Linked DNA regions of Arabidopsis thaliana. The protein of the gene in region 1 interacts with the protein of each later gene in a pairwise test. Each region holds a gene or a part of one and is shown on either strand. Other genes may lie near its edges. The genes, in order: AT1G12630 and SUVR4.

What was found.
Region 2: the proteins of AT1G12630 (region 1) and SUVR4 interact in a two-hybrid assay, tested with the Arabidopsis thaliana proteins (one large-scale study listed by BioGRID).

Annotation. Positions count from the first base shown.
Region 1 is NC_003070.9:4,290,275-4,301,545, forward strand, and holds AT1G12630 (Integrase-type DNA-binding superfamily protein), read left to right. Parts: upstream 1-8,391; 5' UTR 8,392-8,622; coding exon 8,623-9,201; 3' UTR 9,202-9,297; downstream 9,298-11,271. Other genes in the region: DDF1 (Integrase-type DNA-binding superfamily protein), read right to left, coding at 1-560; AT1G12615 (pentatricopeptide (PPR) repeat protein), read right to left, coding at 3,781-4,266; AT1G12620 (Pentatricopeptide repeat (PPR) superfamily protein), read right to left, coding at 4,609-6,474.
Region 2 is NC_003074.8:1,155,089-1,168,926, forward strand, and holds SUVR4 (SET-domain containing protein lysine methyltransferase family protein), read left to right. Parts: upstream 1-6,277; 5' UTR 6,278-6,513; coding exon 6,514-6,538; exon of another isoform or gene 6,539-6,554; intron 6,555-6,942; exon of another isoform or gene 6,943-6,955; coding exon 6,956-7,845; intron 7,846-8,038; coding exon 8,039-8,301; intron 8,302-8,384; coding exon 8,385-8,451; intron 8,452-8,553; coding exon 8,554-8,604; intron 8,605-8,893; coding exon 8,894-8,987; intron 8,988-9,222; coding exon 9,223-9,279; coding exon of another isoform or gene 9,280-9,302; exon of another isoform or gene 9,303-9,368; intron 9,369-9,419; coding exon 9,420-9,451; 3' UTR 9,452-9,889; downstream 9,890-13,838. Other genes in the region: AT3G04350 (vacuolar sorting-associated protein (DUF946)), read right to left, coding at 1-475, 1,270-1,381; AT3G04360 (Calcium-dependent lipid-binding (CaLB domain) family protein), read right to left, coding at 1,937-3,112; PDLP4 (plasmodesmata-located protein 4), read left to right, coding at 4,342-4,804, 5,061-5,429, 5,514-5,633, 5,864-5,871; AT3G04390 (Aldehyde oxidase/xanthine dehydrogenase, molybdopterin binding protein), read right to left, coding at 10,287-10,421, 10,573-10,677; emb2171 (Ribosomal protein L14p/L23e family protein), read left to right, coding at 12,251-12,263, 12,491-12,775, 12,860-12,901, 13,138-13,220; AT3G04410 (NAC (No Apical Meristem) domain transcriptional regulator superfamily protein), read left to right, coding at 13,749-13,838. UniProt on the Arabidopsis thaliana protein: Histone methyltransferase that converts monomethylated 'Lys-9' of histone H3 (H3K9me1) to dimethylated 'Lys-9' (H3K9me2) in the absence of bound ubiquitin, and to trimethylated 'Lys-9' (H3K9me3) in the presence of bound ubiquitin.

The DNA.
Region 1 (11,271 bases):
GTCATGTCTTCCATATACGATCGCGGCGGCGACATTAGTGGCCCCTCCGCGAGTCTCATCATCGTCGTTGAGACTTCTTCGTAGTCTCCAAATCCATACGAAGAAGAATTCCTCTCCTCCGATCCCGAACCAGAGCCGGAACCCGAACCAAAACCCAAATCCACATCATCTCCCGCACAAGGCAAAACCGTAATTCCACTTTCTAAATCCACCGGCCTAAACATCTCCGCAGCTTCCGCCGCAACTCTTCTTATCACATCCGGATCATTGGATTCCGGCACCGGAAGCCGCCAAGCGGAGTCGGCGAAATTCAAACATGCGGATCTCCCACGCAGAGCTAAAACCGCCACGTCGTGTGCACGCGCTGCCATATCTGCTGTGGGATAAGTCCCGAGCCAAATGCGGCGTTGGTGCGTCGGTTCTCTGACTTCGCAGACCCATTTGTCACCGTTCCTCCGCCTTATGCCTCTGTAAACTGGGTGACGTGTCTCCTTAAACACTCTCCTTCCCGCACGCTTCTTAGGCCTCATCTCCGCCAGAATAATATCATCATTATTCATAACTCAAAGTACCAAAAATTCGCCGGAAAACAAAAAGAGACTCCGGTTAACTTAAATTACTGTTGAAAACGTGTTTATTTTTTCTTGTAAGTATTTAGTTACAAAAAAAGATTAAAGATTTGTTCGAATTAAGAGTCTTTCTTCTGACTTAGGCTCTGTTTTTTGTTTTTGCTGGGAGTTGAGAAACAGAGAAGTGAGAAAGAGGGGTATATATAGGCTATGGTTATGGGACCCACAGTATACGAAGTATACGCGCGTAGGACACATGTAATCTTATCCACGAATGCATTTATTAGCTGTTAGCCGTTATAACCTAAAGTTCTGTCTAGAATTTATTAATTGTGTGAGCTTGAACCCACTAATTAATTAAAGAACCCTCTTAAAAAAGTGTTTCTTCTTTTAAACATTGTAGGAGTTAATTTGGCACATTTTATTTAACTGTAGTTTTCGTCATCAGTCTACAAATTCGCAACCTAAGTGCATACGACTGACATATATATACATATATATATTAGTTTTTTCCATACGTTTTACGACTGACATGTAGTATAATTTATAGTTTATAACAGTGTTTCCCTTTGTGGTCTGTTTACCAAATTACGGGATTGGTCTAATATGAATATATGATTATAATCTCACAAGTAAGAGTGCATGGCTTATGGCTATTAGAACTAAAATAAACGAAGAAGTTTCCTGAATTCAACATGACACAAGATGAACAATCTTCTTACAGTTTTAGTCAGATATTAGCTTTTTCATCTTTTTGTTGCAATTTCATTTAAAAAAATACTAAAACTGTATCTTGCAACAAAAAGATGAAATTCAAAACTAGGAAAAGGTTTTCTTACAAAATCAGATTAATTATATAAATTTGACTATCAAAACGTTTACGACAAAATTATTTGATCATCGTTGTTTTTTTGCACGATGGAAGGATATGAAATGTAAAAAAAGAAAAGAAAAAATGAAATGTAGAAATATGAAACGAAAAATGAAAATATATTACATTGGGCAAGAATCATATAGATAATATTTATACCATAAAAATAATCACCTCACTTAAATTTATTGGGTTTTCTGTTCATTTATATACAATCGTTATGTTCGTTTTGATATTTTATGAATGGTGGTGAAATACGATATCAAAATTATCCATTTTCCTCCCATATTTCATCAGTGCCAGCCAATGGTTTTAAAATAAATACCGAGACGAAGAACATTCTTGGAATCTTTTGGTCAAACATAACTATTTGGCTTAGTTTAACTTTTACAAGTTAATAGTATTAAATTCGGGTAGTTGGGTCCAGCTCTACCATGTTGAGATTTTGGGACCAAAATATCCATTTTAATTAGAATCTTATTTCGATATTTGTTTTGTGGATATAACACGTGCCTCATTTCGATACTAAGGAAATTAGCTGTGAGTAACACGTGGGATTTCCGTGGGAACTATTTCTTAGTACTACTACGATAGTACTTGCACATAACATGTGGTGATTAAAACTCATTAAATCCCTCTTTTTATCAAACTAAATTATGAAAGAAAAAACTAAATTATGAAAGAAAAAATAAATCAAACTTTGGTATTAAACAGAAGATAGAAATTACCACATTGATCGTTCAGTTGAAACAGAAAGAATGTGATGCATATCTCGAGATCTATTAGAATACATTAACATGCAAGTTTAATTTATCACATTTTAGTCTCAATTAATTAAAAAAATGAATGTTTAGTGAATTAATGAATTCCTCTAAATTGTAGATGCTCGCTAAAAACCTTTCATGCAAAGTAATAGACGATAGTGACGATGCTGATGTTGAATGTTTGATAACGAGATAGAGTACAGAAAGAAATGTTGAAATTATAAAGTGAAAACTTTAGAGAGACAAGGAGACAACGTCGGCCACAAGAATTAAGGCTTCATGCTGTCTCGTGAGTGTCACATGCGCGTGGCCACAAGAATTAAGGCTAAAGAGTTAAGATTATTTTGTTCAAAAACAAAAAAGATTATATATTTTAGGTGAATACTTTAATGTTCATTATAGCCAATTATATGTATATTCCGTGTATTAGTAATTTGCCGAACTTACTAACTAAACAATTTTTTTTTGGATTATTAACTTTATAAGATATCAAATGATAAACAATCTGTCAAAAAAAAATAAAAGTTATGTCAGCAATGATAATATGCTACGTCAAAAAAAATAAAACAATGTGCAAATTATATACTTCCTAACTAATCCCTCCCAATGCCAACATCTTTGTTGATTTAGTAGACAAACTACGGAAAATTTCTTAAATCATTTCTTTCAACAATTTATGAGCGCAATCCCATCTGCCATTACGACAAAGACCGACTATTACAGAATTACGTGTTTGCTCTTATCCCCTTTCTTTCCATTTTACTTGAAAGTTTCAATGCTTCATCTAGTTGTTGTTTTTGGCAGAGAGAGTGAATGATTGCACTGAACATGATAATTGACACACTACAAAAAAAAAGTATTTTGAATCGCTTATTTTTTATATTTGCATCAATTATAATTGATGCAAATGAGTTTTATATCACTTTTATAAGTGACTCTGAAATTGGTGATGCAAATTATGTGCATCGTTTCAAATAATTTTGCATTAATTGCAAACAATGATGTTAATTTTACACAAATAATATAAATGATATTAGTATTTGCATCAATTTATCAAAATAACGTTAATAATTGTTATGGTAATAATAAGTAATGTTAAGTGTTTATATCAATTATAAATAACTAATGTTAAAATTTGTAAAATCATATTAAATATATATTTAGTAAACAAATTTATTTAATTTTATTAATTAATATAAAAGTAACGATTATATTTGTTTAGTAGAAATAGTTGCTTATTAAACTTTACACTTTGTATACAATAAAAATAGTTGTCTCTTTTTTTCATGGGAGCGATGTGGGACTTTGACAAATTAAGTAACCTATTAAATCGTTTTTTACAATTGATGCTTAATCTTTAATTAACATCATTTGTTATTCATGCAAAAGCAAATTCTTAGGATTGTATCAATTTTTGTGAAAGTGATGCAAATGTTCTAGATTTGTATCAGTTTAAATAAAATGATGCCATATATATCAATAATAGCATTAATCATTGTAACTGATGTTAAATATTTATTTGTATTAATTATAAATAAGTGATTAAAATTAATATCACTAAATTTTTTGACACAAATTATGTGATGTGAATGAGTATTTTTTTTTTTGTTGTGACATCTTCGTTATCATTCTCCATTTTTCTAAGCAACAATATGGCACTTCCATGAAGATCTTGCTTGCAGAGTCCGCTTATAAATGTAGATTTAGTAACTGCATTTGGTTGACAACCCCTTTCAAACATTTGATCAAGTACACCAGGCACTTGAGAAATCATATTACCATTAAGCAGACCTTTAATGACAGTGTTATATGTCACAACATTAGGTTTGTAACCCATAGCTTTCATATTCTTAAACAAAGTTGGTGCATCATAAACAGAAGCATTTTCCTCAAGACAAAAAGGCCTGAGCAACGTGGTAAATGTGAACACATCAGGCTCATGGCCAGCTTTCAACATTCTCGCTAATGTAGACAAAGCAAATCTCAGCTGCGAGCAGTGACAGAAAGCATTTATCAGCAAATTTAGGATGTAGGTATCCTGTTCAATTCCAGCGATTTCCATCGTGTTGCCAAGACGGATCACATGATCATTCTCGGTTCCGATTATATTTTTTTCTTCTAATTTTGTTTTTTGATAGCGATGGTGTGTTTAAGCTACAAATTATATCATTTACCTATACATATTTGTGCAGAATTTAGCAAGTACAATCTGAAAAGCAATGTAGACAGATGAACAGAGTGATAAGGAAATTATGAGCTTGCTTTCATGCCCGGAGAATGGTTATAAATCTTGGTGGTCGATCTGCTTAAGAAAAATGTTGTGTACATCAATGTTGTCACATATGAAACTCCAACTTAGTCTTTCAATGCTCTGAGACGGTAATATGATGTAAACACCAAAATTCTAAGAAAGCATATCCAAAAAGCTTTTCTTCAATCTACCATCCGATAACATATCGACAACCATCTTTACCGTGGAAGCATCAACTGAGAACCCGCACCTCTTTATTTCTTCAATAAGTTTAGCTGATTTGGTTGCATCACCTTCTCCAAGATGTGCCCTGATGAGTATGTTGTATGTACAACCATTTGGCGAATGCCCATCCTCTTCCATTTTTCTAAACAACAGGTCTGCTTCAGACAGTGAGCCTTTCTTACACAGTCCCCCAATCATTATATTGTATGTTTTGACATCGGGCTTCACTCCTTTGAGAGGGAGGCTACAGAATAAATCCCAAGCATCATCCACCTTACTAGCATTGCACATCCCATGAATGATGATGTTATAGATACCAATATCAAGCTCCATCTTACTCTTCTCTATTTTTTCAAATATTTCCAGCGCTTTTTCTGGTTCCCCATTGTCACACAACCCATCGAGCAAAATTTTGTAGGACACAATATCAGGACGAACACGACGAGAAACCATCTCTTGGAAGAGTTCTTTGGCAACTTCAAGTTTTCCCAATTCACAAAATCCTTGGATAAGAGTGTTATAAGTAACCGTATCTGCAACCACTCCTCTCAAAGACATTTTGCGGAAGAGTTCCAAACCATCGTCAATCAGATTAGCCTTACAATATCCATTTATGAGGATATTAAACGTCCTGATATTAGGACCGCATCCTTTGCTAACCATCAGATCCAGCATGTGGTTGGCCTTATCTAGCTGGTTCTCCTTGCAAAACCCATCTATCAAAGAAGTGTACGTAACAGTATCAGGAGATATGCCTCGTTGTATCATCTCCTTGTGCAGTTCTTCAGCCTCTCGAAGCTTTCCCTCTTTCACAAAACAATCTATTAACGCGCTGAAAGCGACCACGTCTGGTGTGATTTTCCTTTTGATCATATCCCTCAGCAACTTGGCACCATCATCCCATCTACCAGCGTAACAAAAGCCTCTAATGAGAGTGGTGTAGATAATAATATCAGCTTTGAACCCTTTGATTTCCATTTCATTGAAAAGGTTGAATGCATTGTCGAGGCTCCCGTCTTTGCACAGACCATCAATGATGATACTGTATTTGACTGCATCGAGCTTGATCTTTCTTTCTTCCATCTTTCTGAGCAACTCCATGGCAAGGGCAGTTTGGCCGGACTTACACATTACTTTTAAAACCGGTCCATAAGTTACTTCATTGGGTTGAAAGCCAGTCTCAACCATTCGATCAATCAAAAGCACAGCATCAGAGACTTTACCGTTGAGACAAAGTCCATTGACCAGAGCGTTAAGCGTTATGAGAGTGGGTTTATGTCCCATTTCAACCATTCGATCAACTAATTCCAGAGCTTCGGAAACTCTACCCTCGAGACATAATCCGTTTATCAAAGTTGAAAATGTGACTGTATCAGGCTCATACCCAAGTTTAATGATCTTCCCCATAGCAGAAAAAGCCAAAGAGAGTTTACGACATCGACAACAGCAATTAATCATAATACTCAGAGTGTAGAGGTTATGCGCAATTCCCTTTAATTCCATTTGCTTGCAGAGATCTAACACTAGATCATATTGCTTTGTTCTGGCAACAACACTAAACAATCTACTGAAATCAATAAGACGAGGACGAGGACGAGACCTAGTCATTTCTTGAAACAGATCAACAGCATCATCTTCCTTGATATCAACAATCCCACTTCTCAATCTCTCTCTATAGGAGACTTTCCCTTTCCCATCACTGACACTAGAAAAGACTCGTCCATAGCAAGACAAGAATAAAGCAGTTCTTAGAGTACCTGTCTCGAGAAGACGTGTCTGAATCAATCCCCGCATGACTCAAGTTAAGAATTTGAAAGCTCTGATTTAAAAAAAAAAAAATTGGAGTCACGTCTTCGGTTTTGTGCTGATTCGTTTGTTCGGCTTCCACAAGCACCAATGTCTGCTCATTACACCTCTTTCACACACAATAAAACAAAAAGATTTAAGCTTTAAGAACTTCTGATTCGGAAATTTCAACAACGATGCTATATATGGGTACCTTGAAAGTGAAAACTTGAAACCTTCCAATTCTAGCGAGTTATCGAAATTGTCGACCCAATTCGCCAACAAGGTGGCACTAAATCTACAGAAAAGAAAACCCAGACACATCGATACGAAGAACGAAGCAATGAGAAACCTGAAATCTTTAGATTCGAGAATGCTTGAAGAACCGGGTTGAATGTACCGGATCAGATAAAACCGGGTTGTCTTTAACCTTCTGTTTCATTCGGAGTTGTTGATAAAATGTTTTTTTTTTCTTCTCCTTTTAATAAAATGAATTTGTTTTTTTTTTTCTTTGTCGACCAGATTAATACTTAATAGGATAGTTTTTTTTTATCGACCACGTTGAACTTCAAAAAGTTTTTTTTTTTTTTGGTTGGTTAGTGGTTACCCAATTTGAAAAAGGACGAATTTATTGGATTGAATTTGATCCTTGAAGATCGAGCTAAACAATTTTACCATAAATTAACTACATCAATAAAAGTAAAAAGAGAAAAATAATGATATATATCGAAGCACACTAAACTTGTTTAAGATGTTGGAGAAAACACTAAACAAGGAGATATTACCAAGTTGACTAATTACACATCTAGATTAAATTCCTGATAATACATCTCCCGTGACAAAAACTTCGATATTGTTCATATCAACGCTTCTGTTTCCGTATGTAAAAGTGAAAGACTTCGTCTTTAACATTCGGTTCCAAGAATCATCACACTATCGTCCACTTGCGAGAAGATCCATCATAATCTCAATGTTGGATATGAACTCTCCCAAGATCCACCATATCTTTGACATTTTATTTTATGAATGTTTTTTTTTTTTGGTTAAGGAGAGGTTAAGGACGTTGATTCGGGCCGAGAAATTGTATTTTATTTTTATGAATGTTTCTCACCAAGATGGCATTTACTACTGTGGGTTTTTAACTTCCTTCCAAGCCAATATTCGTCGAAGCCCGTTGGACACCCTAATTTTGCATTATCGTTCCGGTGGTTTAGCATTTCTAATGTAGCTATAGTTAGTAGGTTAGATTTTACTATTTGTTTAACAGCGATGTTATTATAGTCGATTGTAAAGTATATATATATATATAAGTTTTTCTTAATTTATGTAGTTCAGTCATTTTTCTCTTATATCGGATATGTCTATGTGATCAACTTTGTTTGTGGCATTCTCGTCAACCATTCTTAATGAATTTATATGATAATCAAAACCAAAACAAAATTGAACCTTCGATATGCATCTTTCAACTAATATATGCGTATGCTTCATATGATTAATATAGCTTAAGTATTAACATATATTTCGAAATATATATGTTTATATGCTTTGTATTGATTATATATAGCTTACAGCCTTAAATATTAACTAGTAACTAAACAAGATAACTTATCGGATAAAGTATAAATTATATATATATATATATATATATGTTTTTTTTTTCTTTTTCTTTTCTAAATACGAGATATATATATAGTATAAATTATAGTTTTTTCTTACTCAATTATTATTACAAAAATAACCCCAACAAATGATGACAAAAAAAAAAAAAAACCCCCAACAAGAGCCAACACACTTTCGACAACCCCAAGTGAGAAAGTGAAAGAGAATAACAACTGTGTGTTAAGAAAATATTAGTGAAATAACCCTTTTCTTGATTCATTTCGTATTTGAATATCAATCTCTCACTAAACCCTAACTAATTCAATTATAATCGTCTTTACAGAGATATACAGAACACATATCTATATACTGTTTACCTTTCAGTTCTATATATATGTGGCTGATGGTCACCATATAAATCATACCAAATGTCCCTGATCTTAACCCAAAACTTCTTCATCTTCTTTAATTAGTTTGCCACCTCGCACGTGTGACAAATCCTTCTTCGCCACGTGTGAAAACCCTTCTCCGGCTTGCTACTAATATACGACTAATAGTATGAATAGTTCAATGGCTTCTGCCGGCTTAGGTAGCCGGAGAAAGGATCCGGTGTACAGAGGAATCCGGTGCCGAAGTGGGAAATGGGTCTCCGAGATTCGTGAGCCGAGGAAAACCACGAGAATCTGGCTTGGAACTTACCCCATGGCAGAGATGGCAGCAGCCGCCTATGATGTGGCTGCTATGGCTCTTAAAGGAAGAGAAGCTGTCTTGAACTTCCCTGGATCCGTCGGGTCATACCCGGTTCCTGAATCAACATCCGCAGCAGATATACGAGCCGCTGCGGCAGCCGCAGCAGCAATGAAGGGATGTGAGGAAGGGGAGGAGGAGAAAAAGGCAAAGGAGAAGAAGAGTAGTAGTTCGAAGTCGAGAGCGCGTGAGTGCCACGTAGATAATGATGTTGGATCTTCGTCGTGGTGTGGGACAGAGTTCATGGACGAAGAAGAAGTCTTGAATATGCCTAATCTGCTGGCTAATATGGCAGAAGGGATGATGGTTGCGCCGCCGTCGTGGATGGGTTCTCGGCCGTCGGATGACTCTCCGGAGAATTCAAATGATGAGGACTTGTGGGGCTATTGATCGGTTTGTGTTGTCCACGTACGTATATGTAATCATTATTTGTTCTTGTTGCTTTTTTTTTTTCCGCCCTTAATTATTTCACTTGTATGATATATCAAATCATATGTTTAATGTTTTATTTAAGATTGTTTCTACTTTCTTGTATCGTTGAATTAGGGTTTGCGTTTGGAGTTTTTAGGGTTATCAACTAGGGCTTAATTAGCCTTATAGTGATCCTCCTTTAGTTTCGCGACTTCACGTTTTGATTTCAATTATTACTCTTATTCCTATTTGCATCTTCTTAGTCAAGAATATATTTCATGTTCTTAAGTTTGTTTTTGTTCAATATAAAGATGAGATTATGAATATTTAATATAATAGCTACTCCTTATATACATGAACTAAAAAAAGTCTTTGACATATATATATCTTCAGGTGGAACATAAAAACGGAGGTTTTTTTTTTAAATAACACCGCAATTTAATTCGGCAAAGTTTCATGTTTGTCAATCAAAGATCCAATAAATATGATGAGTATAATATGAATATATGATCTTTGTGGAATTTCTTCTCTTGTTTATTGAGATTAGTCTTTTTCTTATATAACCCATGATCAATTTGTTTCGAGTCTTTTGACTTTCTATGTATCATTTTTTTGCGTTTTTTCTACATACACAACATATATCTATCTATTTTTCGTCACATGTTCGTTGCTCAGATATATATTCGGAAATCCATCCAGCGATCTATATTCCATTTAATTCGTCTCGTAGTGATATATATGTTTTCATATGAATCAATCGATTGATTGATGCTTATTCACACAATGATACATATATTATATTCATCTAGTGTTCCTTTTAAAAAGTTTTGATGTTCCTGAGTTTCCTTTTTTAGATATGTTTTTGTTGTAAAGGTTTTGCCATATATGTATAGACATGAGTGGTGTTTTCTTACTGGGTCATTTTTTGTCGTTTTCTTTAAATTGTGACACTATCTTGCTAATAAAGTGATATATTTTTGTATTAAAATCTTAGTCTTAACTATATACTCCATCTGTTTTACAATTATTGTCATTTTGATAAATTTCATAGAAATTACAAAACTCGTGAAACATTTCATTATGTATTTGTAAATCAAATTAAATAAACTCTTGGTATATTCTAGTTTTTCATTGTAATTTGGTTTTACTTAAGAGTAAGACCATATATTGTGTACTTAACACAAACATTTATTTATATTGAAATATTAAGAAAAAACTTATTTTGAAAAATAGAAACGATGATAAAATGATATTCTGTTTTGAAATGCATAAAGTATCATTTTATCGAATTCAAATATACATATAAGCTTTTAACGTATGGAGAGTAAATAAGAATTCTTACTTGAAACACGAATTAGTAATATTATTTGTGTTAAAATTCTAATTTAAGATATAACGCCAAAACGATGGTGCAAAAGGTTTTAACACCAATGTTTTTACCTGAAACGGACAAAAGAGAGGTTAATAAGAGAGGTGACCATGTGGCTTTTCTTTAATCATATCCGTCACTAAGTTCTATAAACTTTAGCTTTACAACTTTTTAATATTCTATCTAAAATCACACAATATAGTGGTATTTTTTATGAAATTTTTAATGGATTTATATTCTTCAAAAATGGTAAAGGTATTGGTCAGACCAAAGAAATTTGCCTTTTGTTTTAAATTATGTAAACGTCCTATTTATAGTTTTATAAGAAATTTAAGAATTAATTAACTAAAATTAACTCGGCTTGTCTCTTCCGACTAAACATCTGCACTATTTTTTCTTTACAAAATTTCCATTTCCCCAACTCTTTGCCACGTGGCACTATCTCCTCGGATTTGTTTGACCTAAATCCCTTTTTGGTTTTGTTTACAACACCTAGACCCTAAACTGTCTTTATGGTTTTAAAAAATCTATGACCCCTAACATAAAATATCTGTGATCGGTATTATAAGTATACCATACAAACTAAAACATCCATTACAGGGATATCTAGTTCTTTATAAGAATAATAAAGTTCTGTTTTAGTAATTAGAATAACTAAGTTTTTTTTTTTGTGTGTATGG
Region 2 (13,838 bases), on another chromosome or scaffold:
TTCGAAGAACCCACCTCAAGTATCATCTCAGAGGTTTCACAACTCTCTGTAAGATCCTCTCTTACACATCTGACCTCCTCTGTTTCAGGTTCACCTGGTTCATGGGTTACAATAACTCCCATTGCTCTGTAACCAACCGGAGGATTAGGTAGCCAGAAATAACCACCACCATTTTTCTCTGAATCTGCACTCCAAACTAAAGAATAACTCACAGGCTTTTTCAAGGGCGGGAAATCATCAGCATTGACGGCTTTGCTAGTCCGAGCTGCAAGTACATAACCTCTCAAGGGCTGATCGGTTGGCTGGCAATAGTGACCAAGGCAATGGAATCCTTCTGGAATGTCATCGGCTCTGTAAAATGTAGCACGTTTTGATTTGTCGTGTGATGAATCAGAGCTCCAAACTCGATGGAACTTGGTGATTTTCACCACTTCTATTTCTCCTAGGCTAATTCTTCCTGTGGCAAAACCTTTACCTGCAAAGAGATTGACAGTAACAGAAAAGTACATCACTTTCAGCATCAAAGAACTAAAAACACTTCTATATAGAACAATTGATAGATTGAAACAGTAAAACAAGAAGGCGCTTAGCTTGATGCATTCAAAAGTACAAATTCATCAGCTTCAAATTCATTACCAATACCGAGATTTATTTCCATCAAACAAAACTTAAGTTTTTGTCCCATAGAAGAGTATTAAATAACATGATACCATATCCATCTACTCTTCAACACATTTAAGATAGAGCCTTTTTTTCTATGATCAGAGAGACAACATTATCATTGCTTACATTATTGAGCCAATAAAACTTAACAAAACCAATCATATCTAATTATAGCAAAAATAGAAAGTCTCTTTAAGGCTTGAAATTAACTTGTGTATACAAAAATCTTGAATCAGAGTCAACCAAAGAAGAATGAACAAGACAAGTAGACAACGGAACAACCCATGCAGAATATTCCAAAGCATCTTCCTCAGTCTACCCTTTCAAATTTCAATAAACCAGAAATTAATTCTCTCTCTAAACAATTATATAAAATTAAGCCAAACAATTAGATAAGATTGTCATTAACCAAGGAAGGATCCATAAATAATTAACCTTATCTTATGTACGCATGAAAGATAAAGTATCGATATTATAACTTGTCAGCTCAATTATTTGATTAGACCAAGCCTAGCTGAAAAACTCAATTCCATATACAGAATCTTGCAACTTCAATTTGAAATTATAGATAAATTAGCAATTTCCAGTAAAGAAAGTTTTTTGTACCTTGCGGCCAACTAGGAAGAGGAGCCGGAAGTGAGAAGGGCTTTGGCTCGGACGATTCCGAATCCAACTCGGAGATTCCTCTGCTCCAGTAAAAACAATCACACCCAAACATCTTGAAGAAATACAAGATTTTTCTCCAGAATTTGGAAATTAATAGAGACCCCCCAAAACCCACGAGCTGATTTCGAGTGGGTGAGGTTTAGATTCTTCGATTACAGAGAAATCAGCCGATTGTTCCTCCGGGAACTGGGAAAATCACCGTTTCCTATGCCCCTCTCTCTCTATCTCTGTGCCCTCTCTCTCTACCTCAATTTGAGAGAAATTTGAAAAGCAGAGAGCTTACGACTATCTCGACATTCACGGCGAAGAGATAGAGAGGCGTTGAAGTTGTAATTGCGTAAGAAAGAGGAGAAGGTTGATGATGAAGTTATGGTGTGTTAATGCGTTTCTCAAAAAGCTCTCTTTTCTTTTCCCTTTCTTTAAAAGCTTTTCACAATAACCCCAGTATTATACAAATATTCAAATTAGTCCATTTACCAGAAATGTAACGGGAAAGTTTATTCATACGTTTTAACCTCAATACTTTCAAATCTGTATGGTTTAACCCATCATCAAACGTTTTACACCACCAAAAGAAACCAAAAATAAGTAAACATTTTCTCTTATCTCAAGTCGCAGAATGACTAAACGTTTCGTCTACAGCACTAAGATTTACTACTTTATTGTTATTATATCTCTTCTTTGTGCTGTCTCCTTCTCCGCCGCTTCCACCGCCACATGTTATCGAAATCTCACATCCAAACACGTTTCCAAAACATGAAAACAACCCTTTCTTACCCTCTCCTCCACCGTTTCTCCTCCCTTGTTGTTTCTCCTTTCTTCTCCTCCTCCTTCTTCTCCTTCCCGCTCCTCCTTTCCCGCTAGAATCATCGCTTGATCCAGCCGCTCCACCCGCTCCACCCGTGCCATTTTTCTCTGCTCTCCACCGTTCAACTCTATGCTCAATTCCCTCTGTTTTCCCTTCAAGTATCGAACTTGCGTCCTCTTTGTTAGCCGCTTTAACCGCTGTTTTCTGTCTATTGTAAAGCCCTTGCGCAATCGCAGCCGCAACCACAGACGCTGATGGTCCAATATCAGAGCTACAAAGCGAACCATTAACCATACTATCCGCACCAACAACAATACCGCCACCACCACCACCTCCTCCTCCATTGCCAGTAACAACCCCTGTTTTCACACCGTAATCATTCGTAGACGTGGTTAAATCCGTTTGATCGCTATTCGTACGGCGATGCATCATTCTTGAAGCCTCTTGGTCTCTTTTAACACTATTCCTCTCTCCTTTTCGACTTCCATCGAAAACCTCAATAGATAAAGGCATACTCCGTTGACCACCGTCAAGAAGTGCAACACCGAGACGTAAAAACCCTTGTAGCCTCCCTGAAGGACGACGAATCTGAAGAGTCACAAGCCTCATGTTGTTATTCCCACCACCACCGTCGTTACCATCACCAAAACCAGACCAAGGAGCAAAAAGATCGCTGAGAAGAACATTCACAGTACCAACAAGAGCATCTTTAGCCCAAGCCGCTGCGTAGATCTCAATCACAATCGCTGATGCGTCAACGTAGAGAATCTTGTCGTTGACACGAAACACAAACTTCTCGTTCCATATAGGGTTAGCTCTGTTGGATTGATCAACACGCGTGGTGAGTTTTCTCATAGGATCGGTGTTGATCCAAGCGACGGAATACGTTTTCATGTTTCTTGAGACAGGGGCTAAGTCTTGAGCTGAGATTAAATTGATCTCAAGAACCGGACATGCGAACTTGAGCCGACCCATATTTTTTTTGTGTGGTTTTTAAAATCTAAATGGATTCGTTTAATCTTCGCAAGAAGCGGGAGACCTTGTTTTGGTCACTCGTCTCCGTGAGAATGATTATACGATCAGTTGTTGAGAGGAGAATGAGAAGGAGAATAAAAGGAGAGGTAAAGAGGGGAGCGTAAGATGAGGAAGGAGCTTGTGGTTTTTAGACATGATAAGAACTAGACCGTTGGTTTATTTACTGTCATATTCAACGGAAAATTTGTTATAAAAGTTGGAGACTTTATGGAGACAGACATTATTTCTTTGACTCTTTGGTCTATGTTGATCTAAATATTTGTTTGTTAAGAGTTTTGACTTGTATCGGTGTAAAGAAAAAAATAAAGATCTAGTCAAAGAGAATGAAACTCTGTCATAACGAATTAACGATATTTACGGAAGAACAGGGGAATTTCTTTTTCTTCTAGCTCTTTGTATTTTTCTTCTGTAATTTTAGGCTTTTTATATATGTCAGCGCTTGTTTTTCTTGGCAAGGCAATTGAGATTCAAGACATCATATAAAGCAACTTGAAATAAAAGTTACGATAAATATTTAAAATTTGATTGGTCTTACTCTAATTCCGACTATTTCGCTCTCACACAACAAAAAAAAAACATAATTTAGGGTTGTTTAGAATTTCCAGTGTATTTTTAATTTAAATCTTGGTTGAAAACTATGGAAATTTGTTAGGTAAATTTAGTTGAGCGGATATGTTTGTTAGTTTGTTACTGTCTAAGACTTCATCGAAAGCTTTTCTTACTTTCAAATTACATACATTTACGTACATTATTATTCTCTTACTTCAAACCAACACTAGTAGTATTAAAAGAATTGAATAAGGGTTAGGCTAAGAATCAGACCTCCGCTAGTAGCCGAATGTCATTTTTAACATATTTTGGATCAGCCAGTTCCACAAATTGTGAATAATATTACTGTTTCACTATACATAAAATCATTAGAAAATTGTTAAACTAACCTCTAGGATCATATTCATACCAACAAGAAGAAAAGATCAAGAAATCGTTGGTGTGCTTAGCACGTGCGCTTGACGACCTCCTAAGTCACAACTAAATCTTTAACATATGTAGACAAGTGGTAGACATACGTAGACAAAATCTAATCTACCACAACTTCCCTCTCCATTCACCAATGTATATATTCAATGAATTAAAAATATATCTCTCTTCCCTGTAGTTTTGACTCAAACATGGTTGTCCACTTGATCTCTCTCCTCACACAAACCCTAGCCCTAATCATTCTGTCTCTTCCCTCTATCATCAACACTTCTCAACTTGATTACGACACTCTTGTTTTCAAACAATGCGATCCATTGGACGCAAACATCCTCCAAAAAGCAACAACAAAATCTCCAAATTACTCGAATCAGAATCTCTTTCTTCGTGCACAAGCCCTTTCTTCTTTCTTACGCAAACTCGAATCAGAATCCTCTCGATCTAAATTCTTGAAGACTCTAGTTGGTAACGAAAAACACGCTGTCTCTGGATGGTTCCAATGCAGAGAAGATTATCCGAGTGAGATCTGCCATAAATGTGTTGGTGATCTTCGTGAAATTTCGTCTAGATCGTGTGGAAATGCCACGTCAGCTCGTATTCATCTTCGAGGATGTCATTTGATATACAAATTCGAACGTATTGATACCCCTGGCGCTCGTAAGTATTCATCTTTGTTGTTGACAAAAAATCATAAAATCGTGTACAGAAAAAAATGGTTGGAAAATTTCTTACTTATTTGGTCTTATAGTAAAATTTCTTATACTTTTATCAAAAAATATATTATTTCTTAGGTATATAAATTTTCCACTCGCGAGAAAAATTGAAGGATAGTGATAAACAAATTAAGTTGAATTCACATTAAAGTAAACGATTCATTACGTAAAATAAATATGATTCTTGTTATTTTTGGAAGAAGTTAATAATCATCACAAGTACAAGTTATTTGAGACCCCGGAACACGGTCTCATCCACAAGATATGCGATGGAGCTACCGCGGAGACTTTCCCCGGATTCGAAGAGATGAGGACGGAGGCACTCACTGCAGCCGAAACAGGAGTTGTTGACGGTCACGGATTCTATGAGGATAGCTACAAGCTCCTCCACGTTGTGGCTCAATGCGACGGCCACGTTGAAGCTTGCGATTGCGGCGAGTGCATAAGTTCAGCCGCGGCAGCAGCAGCAGAAGAGTGTCGGTGGTCCATAGCCGGACAAATATACTTAGAAGGGTGCCACGTCGGTTATACATATCACCCACATGAACTTCCCAATGATTCATACCACGGTACGTACAGTTATTAAAGAAAACTGAACCAAAACAAATATCAGTTGATTATGTACTTAAGTTGCGAATTGTTTCTTTTGACAGAAGAAGGTTCAAAAGTAAACACGGGGAAGTCGTTGGCGATTGTTGTAGGAGGAGTAGCGGCATTGGTCTTTGTTGCTATCTTTTTTATGTTCCTAAAAAGCTTGCGGAAAAAAGGAGATGGTAAGTTATTACTATTAGATTTGATATCGTTTTACTCTATTTTTTTTTAATTTGAAAACATTATAATGTAGAGACATGCTAATATAAACGAAACATGCTAATTATAAACGAAAATATTAGAAACTTATAATTATATAGATCCCATGTTTATGAAGTTCTTACACAAATGTTCTAACTATTTAATTATGTACATACAAAATTGAATTGACTAATTAATTATCCTATTGCAGATTGTTGAAGGGTACATGATCAGAGAGATGTTGGGAAAATAATTCTGTTCCTTGTATTTGTTCTACCAACCAAGGAAAACCTCCTTCTTTCCATTTTTCGATTGTGGAAATAAAAGTGGTAGGATACGTAATTAATCATGTAACTATTTGCCCTAAAAGTTATATAACATCCTTTAATAACTACGACGTTTGCTTTAACAAAAAAAAAAAATAACTACAGTACGACGTTTGAAGTAAGAAGATTATATATTTATGTTTTGTAACCCCCAGAACTAATACATATCACGTTATAGCCCATAACTTTTATTTAATTATGCTGTGCTTTTTAGTCAATGGGCCTATTTTAATGGACCTACACAATCATGGAAATAAATCTGGAAATAAATCTGTCCACGACGGAAAAACAAAATCTATAAACAATTGTATGTATACTCACGCACGACGCAGTGAAACAGAGATACTGTGGAAAAGTGTGTTTAAAATGGATCTGTTTTAGGGTATTTATCAATTCGAAAATTGATTAATTTATTAATTTCGTAAGCTTTCACAGAAAGTTCGAACTCTTTGCATGCAATCATTCGCCGTCTTCTTCCACAATTGTGTTTTTTAGCCGGCGGCGGCTGGATTCGAGAAGCTTCCGATTGTTCTGTATGATCAGTCTCTCCGGACTAACCAGTAAGGTTTTTTGTTTGTATGTTACGCATTCTCTTTGCTTTTCTCATGCATTCTCTTTTCTTATTGTGTTGATCAATGTGGGTTCTTACTCCGCGAGTTGCAGAACGGTTTAAGCTTGAAATTTTGAAAAATGTTGGAATCTGTCTTTGTCGATTTGATGAGATCGCCGTTTTTGTTTTGTTTGGAATTGGCATAAATCTGTTTTTAGGGTTCTTGATTGGTGAGATTTTTGGATGATTGTTGATAAGGATTGGGTTTATTCAAAATTCGCAGATCTTTAAGGATAGCTGATGCATTGATGTGTCTTTACTTTGGTGATTAGCAGTTTCATACATATGAACCAGATTATATTTTATCACTAGAAAACTAGTAATTTGGCATTTTTTACCAATTAAGATATTTAGTGTGTATTTGCAGGTTCTGTTGAAAGTGATCTCGATATGCAACAAGCGATGCTCACCAATAAAGACGAGAAGGTACTCAAAGCTTTAGAGAGAACAAGGCAATTGGATATTCCCGATGAAAAGACAATGCCAGTGCTTATGAAGCTCCTAGAAGAGGCTGGTGGCAATTGGTCGTATATAAAGTTGGATAACTATACTGCACTGGTCGACGCTATTTATTCTGTTGAGGATGAGAATAAGCAAAGTGAAGGTTCATCTAATGGTAATAGAGGGAAGAATCTTAAGGTCATTGACTCTCCTGCTACTCTGAAAAAAACTTACGAAACCCGTTCTGCATCCTCAGGTTCCTCCATTCAGGTAGTCCAGAAGCAGCCACAGCTTAGTAATGGTGATCGCAAGAGGAAATATAAAAGCAGAATTGCTGACATAACTAAAGGTTCAGAGAGCGTTAAAATCCCTCTTGTCGATGATGTTGGGAGTGAAGCTGTGCCAAAGTTTACTTACATCCCTCACAACATTGTTTACCAAAGTGCTTATCTCCACGTGTCTCTGGCTCGAATCTCTGATGAAGATTGCTGCGCAAACTGCAAAGGGAACTGTCTTTCAGCTGACTTTCCTTGCACTTGTGCTCGTGAAACCAGTGGAGAATATGCTTATACCAAAGAAGGGCTGCTAAAGGAAAAGTTTCTGGACACCTGTCTTAAGATGAAAAAGGAACCAGATTCGTTCCCTAAAGTTTACTGCAAAGACTGCCCTTTGGAGAGAGATCACGATAAGGGCACATATGGAAAATGTGATGGACACTTAATCCGAAAGTTCATCAAGGAATGCTGGAGAAAGTGTGGATGTGATATGCAGTGTGGAAATCGAGTAGTACAGAGAGGGATAAGGTGCCAACTGCAGGTTACATTTCTAGGATACTACATTCAATCTTATATGCTGACCATCCTATTTTAAATTAGTCTTCTATATAGCTTCTTGGCTTGATGTCTGGCACCCTCATAATTTTGAACTATTTCTATGATTTTCTCCCCGTTTTTTTTGAATTATTATTTTCTCCTTTCATTTGTTTGACGAGCAAAATATATTGTTTCAGGTTTACTTTACTCAAGAAGGGAAAGGATGGGGTCTTAGAACACTGCAAGACTTGCCCAAAGGAACCTTTATCTGTGAATACATTGGTGAAATATTGACCAACACGGAGTTATACGATCGGAATGTTAGGTCTAGTAGTGAACGACATACATATCCTGTAACTCTGGATGCAGACTGGGGTTCTGAAAAGGATCTAAAAGATGAAGAAGCTCTCTGCCTGGATGCCACAATCTGTGGAAATGTCGCAAGGTTTATCAATCACAGGTATTAATCAACGCTCGTTGTGCTATGATTTTTTCGTGCTTCCCTTGAGAGTTTATGGTTCTTGTGAACTTTTGTTGATGCAGATGCGAGGATGCAAACATGATTGATATTCCGATAGAGATAGAGACGCCTGACAGACATTATTATCATGTAAGTATCTGTTTTCTCCACTCTAACCTGATCTTCCGGAAAGCAGTGATTGTGAAAGTAAATTTCAGTGAGCTTAAGGAGTCTGGGTTTGGTCATGTGCAGATTGCTTTTTTTACCCTACGAGACGTGAAGGCCATGGATGAGTTGACATGGGTAAGCACCATGATTAAGCTACCTTAGTTTTAACTACTTTGTATTGACCACATAGTTACAAATACTCACATGGCTAAAGAAGTTTTGCGCTCTTACTGTGGATATTGCACTAAAGCTATTAGATTAGAGCATTCTGATGATTTTGCCATTCTAGATCTCTGGTGTGTTTGTAGATGACTTCATCAATAGAGAGATGGAACCAAACACGTCTTTCTACTGGTCCCATAACGTTATCCTCTCTTGAGTTGTACAGATACTCAATTCAAAAAACCTGTGTTTCTAATCGCAGGATTACATGATAGACTTCAATGATAAAAGTCATCCTGTAAAGGCATTTAGATGTTGCTGCGGAAGCGAATCATGCAGAGACAGAAAAATAAAAGGTCAGTTTTCTTTACACATTGCTTTTGTTGTTCAAACCTTTGTGACAGAATGCTGGCTTACTTCCTTCGTTTGCTTACACATTCTAAGTTAGATTTTGTGTAGTTTCGTATGAGATCCGAGCCAAAAATATGATTTGGCAAAGTACATTGATTCACAGAAATGAAATGATGCCACCAAAAAAAGAGAAACTATATTTCTTGGCTAATTATGCATTCCGGTGATATGTCATGTCAGGATCTCAAGGCAAGTCTATAGAGAGAAGAAAGATTGTTTCTGCTAAAAAACAACAAGGTGAGAAAGAATGTCTAAGATGATATAACCTTAGAGGCTTAGCATCAATTATCCCTGCCTAAAGCTTGAGATCCTTTAGAATTTCTCTAAAGTGTATGATTCAGTCGTTGAGGTAACAACCGCCAATTCTTAAAATGCAGGTTCCAAAGAGGTGTCTAAAAAGCGCAAATGAGACTGGTCATTATTTAGAGTTAAACATTAAAGAAAGCATGAGCTCACAAAACACTATGATCCATCGCGAGCTCTGCATGATTCAACTAGCTTTTCCTTCTTGATGACATATACAACTTTTATGGTCTGCAGTTTTTTCTCATTTACAATCTCTTCTTTAGGTAAAAAAAAGTGTTATGTTGCCTAACCAAAGAAACTCACTGTTTAGTTCTGTTCTTCAAATTTCATGGCATATGTCAAAATAAATAAACCTTTTTTAATAGAGTTCTAGAGCGTAAAGACTGGATCGAAAAGGAGCCCATCACTGGTAAATTCAGCCAAGAGTGATCCATCGCATCAATGATTTGTAATGTTAAACAAAATTTTAATATTTAGACTTAGAAGTTGTAATTTATTGGTTTATTTTGGTCATCATAGAAGAATTATTTACATATTTTATATTTTTATTTATACATTGTTGCTAGTTTTTTTGGAACTATCAAATTTTACATTCTTTGTTTTTTTTTCTCCAAGAAGTTACTGATTTGAAGAAACCTATATCTTTGTAATGTTACATGTACTGGAGACTGGAAGTTACTTACATATATGACTTTGACCAACATTTCTATTCGGATTAAACAAAGTATAATCCTAGGTTCATCAGTTCCAAATTTGTTTCTACCAATTCAGAAGTGCTTCTTCTTATGGTTGCATACCTTGAGAAGAGAAAGGGAATGTTGTGAGTAAAGCATCTTCTTAAGGTATTTTTTAGTTTCCAGGTCCGCAAGTGAGTAAAGCTCATGGTTTAATCCATGTATGAGCTGCATCTCCCCACTTGAGCTCTTCGAAAGCTACCCTCAGCGAATGGTGTTGAAATTGTGTTTAGATGTAACAGGCTCCAATTTTGCTATAATATGCTTAACATCGTCTAAAACTGCAGGACCATACATATCAGAGCTCGCAGAAGCAGCAGTAGGTGACGCATTAGGAACCTATTAAGAGGCAATCAAAACGACAAGAGAGCAATAAAAGTTTGTGAGGCATTTGGAACCTATTAAGAGACGACAAAAATGATAAGAGAGAACAATAACAGTTTTGTCTTGGCCAAAGTCCACAGAGTACATGTAACCGAGTTAGAGGTACCTTGTATGTGCTTGTTTCTGACACAAAAACCGAACTAAGGGGAATGTTAAAGGCCGCTGCAGCAACCTTTGTATGCATATCCTTAACCCATTTCAACACCTCCATGTGTCACCAAAACAGTCCCATTGGTGCAAACATGAACAAGAGCACCGGAAGTATCTTAAAATCCAGATTCTAGATTTGCAAGCAACGGTAGTGCAATGCTGAGATTTCCAAACAAGCTTTATATTATTCTTTTAACTTTAAAGTGAATCCTTTTTCTAGCAAAATGAGGACAAACTTTTACCAATTTTCACATTTTTAGAAAAATATTCAACTCACTTTGATTTCTTAAGGGCTCAGCTGAATCTAGTTTTCAATGTCTGCAGAACAAAATGAAAATGAAAATTTTATTATCTCAAAATCCATTCTATTTTTTTTTTGTGTGACATTAATCAATGATTTCAAAATAACCAAAAACATACAAATTTTATGTTTCATTCTTATTATTATCAATTTATCATCCTCATCCTCCCTCAGCTCCTGAAAACTATGTCGTTTTGGAAAATGACGAAAATACCCTTGTATCTGTATTGCTATGTAAACTACTGTTGTTTCAACAAACATAAAATTTTGAAAAAGTAATAATAAGAATAAAATAATTTATTTCATAATCTAAAAAAAAACGAATAATCTAATAGATTGAAGGAGGACTTAATAATTAGAACAAGGTTATATAATTAGATATATTCTTTTTTTTTTTAAGGTTATATAATTAGATATATTCGTTTTTTTAAAAGGTTATAGAATAAGATTTCATTGCATCTTAAAACCAGACAACTTTCAGAACTGAAGAATGACGAAAAATTAATAATAGAGGAGGAGAGGAGGAGCTACATCAACATTATTTCTATTTTTTCAGCCAATCAGAGCGCTCCGGACTTCGCCCACTCGCACCAACCTCGCGCCACGCGCTCCATTCCATGCCCACTCGCACCAACCTCGCGTTGAACGCGTGTCGTCGATTTCTGTAGGGGTAAACCCACAAAATCATGCCTATTTTACATCTACTCGCTTTGTTTCCAAAACAGCCTCGAGTGACTTTTTTCTTTTGTTTTTTTTCTCAAAACCGTATTAATTCTAATGCAAACCGAACCAAAATTAATTTTTATTTCAAAACCATCTAAACCAAACAGAAATCACATGTAATTTCAAACCCGAACCGAAATCAATTGTCATTTCATCAAAACCATGTAAAAAGCTTCTACGATTGTTTTAACTTGCAACTGAAAATAGCAATCCTAATTTATCAACAGATAAAGATAGATACATGCAACACTTTACTTTTTTATTTTTGGTTTTGAGAAGATGATTACAGTTGTGATTTTGGTGGAGACAAAAATGTCCATCTCTGTATGTTGCTAGCCGATCAAATTTTACATTCAAAATCCTTTTTGATAAAAAAAATAAAAAAATTCAAAATCCTTTATGATATATTGGGCCTAAGATGATTTCCAAAAAAAAGATGATGAGAAAAGAAAGAGAACATTATTGGGCTTATTGTTAAATTATTTCGGCCCATAAAATAAAGTCCAGGTCAGCTCACAATACATGAAGAAAACCCTAGTTCAAGCGTATATAAACCCTCTCGGCGCTGCCATTGAAACTCTTTCAAGGAGAGAGCTGCTACTCTGCAACCATGTCGAAGCGAGGTAAAAAAACGTTTCTTCATCTCTAATTCGCTTAACCTAATCTGTGTACATCTCGTATGAATCATATCCTGTTTTCGCTTATTTTCTTCATTTCACTTTCAATGACAATGGTTTTACCCTAATTTCTATTAGTAAAGCTTCTGGATCATGAATATTAGTCTTATATGTCTCTACTTTGGTTGATAGTGTTTAGATCTGTAACTTTTGTGTTTGTTTTTTGTGAATAGGAAGAGGAGGAACCTCTGGTAACAAGTTCAGGATGTCACTGGGTCTTCCAGTGGCAGCCACTGTGAACTGTGCTGACAACACCGGAGCTAAGAACCTTTACATCATTTCGGTTAAAGGAATCAAGGGTCGTCTTAACCGTTTGCCATCAGCGTGTGTTGGTGATATGGTTATGGCTACTGTTAAGAAAGGTAAGCCTGATCTCCGTAAGAAGGTGCTTCCTGCTGTCATTGTTAGGCAGAGGAAGCCTTGGCGCCGAAAGGACGGTGTCTTCATGTATTTCGAAGGTAATCCTTTGCTTTTCTTCTCTGTGATTTGCATTTCAATTTCTCTGAAGTGTGATTGTCTGATAGAAAGTTTTGGTTTTGCAGATAATGCTGGTGTCATTGTCAATCCCAAGGGTGAAATGAAAGGTAAGAAGTTGATGTTTTTGCTTATTTGTTATTGAATTCTCTGGTAGATGTATGAGTTGTTTATGTATGCAAGTTTTGATAACCTCCTGATGAGTTAGTAGTTACTAGAGGAAGTATTGTGTATCTGAATTTATCTAGAAGTTTGATATGGGGCAACTCAAAGCCAATCTCGTAGTGATAAATCAGTAGTATCATATTTACTTGTAGCTGATGAGTCTGTTGTGTGATGTAATTAGGATCTGCTATCACTGGACCAATCGGAAAGGAGTGTGCTGATCTGTGGCCAAGAATCGCAAGTGCTGCGAACGCCATCGTTTAAGCAAGCTTGAGATCTCTATGTTTTGTGTTGAACGTTTAGCATTATCTCTATTTGGGATTGTTTTTTGTTTTTGTCTTAGACTTTTGTTATGCCTTAAAGCTGATTCTAGTTCTTATAAGAACCTTCGTTTCTCGTGCCAGTTTGTCACCTCAGTGTTTTAGTCTATCGTAAACTTGTGATTTGATTCACTGGTTCTTGTGTTTGTTCGGTTTTGTTTTAAAAAACATAGAATTCAAGTGATTCACACTATTTTGTTACGCAATTAGAAATATGTTTAGGGCGAATCAATTGTGTGAACAGACTTAAGTAGAGCCTAAAAATTTGTATATAACTCTTATATTAGCAAGTCAATTGTGGATTTGGGAATCTGTTTTTCAATATTTCATGAATAATAGGAAAATTGTGTATATATCCGTCTTCTCCCTCCTACCAAAAGAACTTGCATAATAGCAACAATGGCGAAATACTTCTGATCCCTCTTTTTCTCTCCATTTTTTTTAAAACTGAAACTTTATTCACTCTCGAAAAATGGTGAATCCGGTGGGTTTCAGATTCCGTCCGACCAAAGAGGAGATCGTCGACCATTACCTCCGGCCAACAAATTTCGATGGTGACACG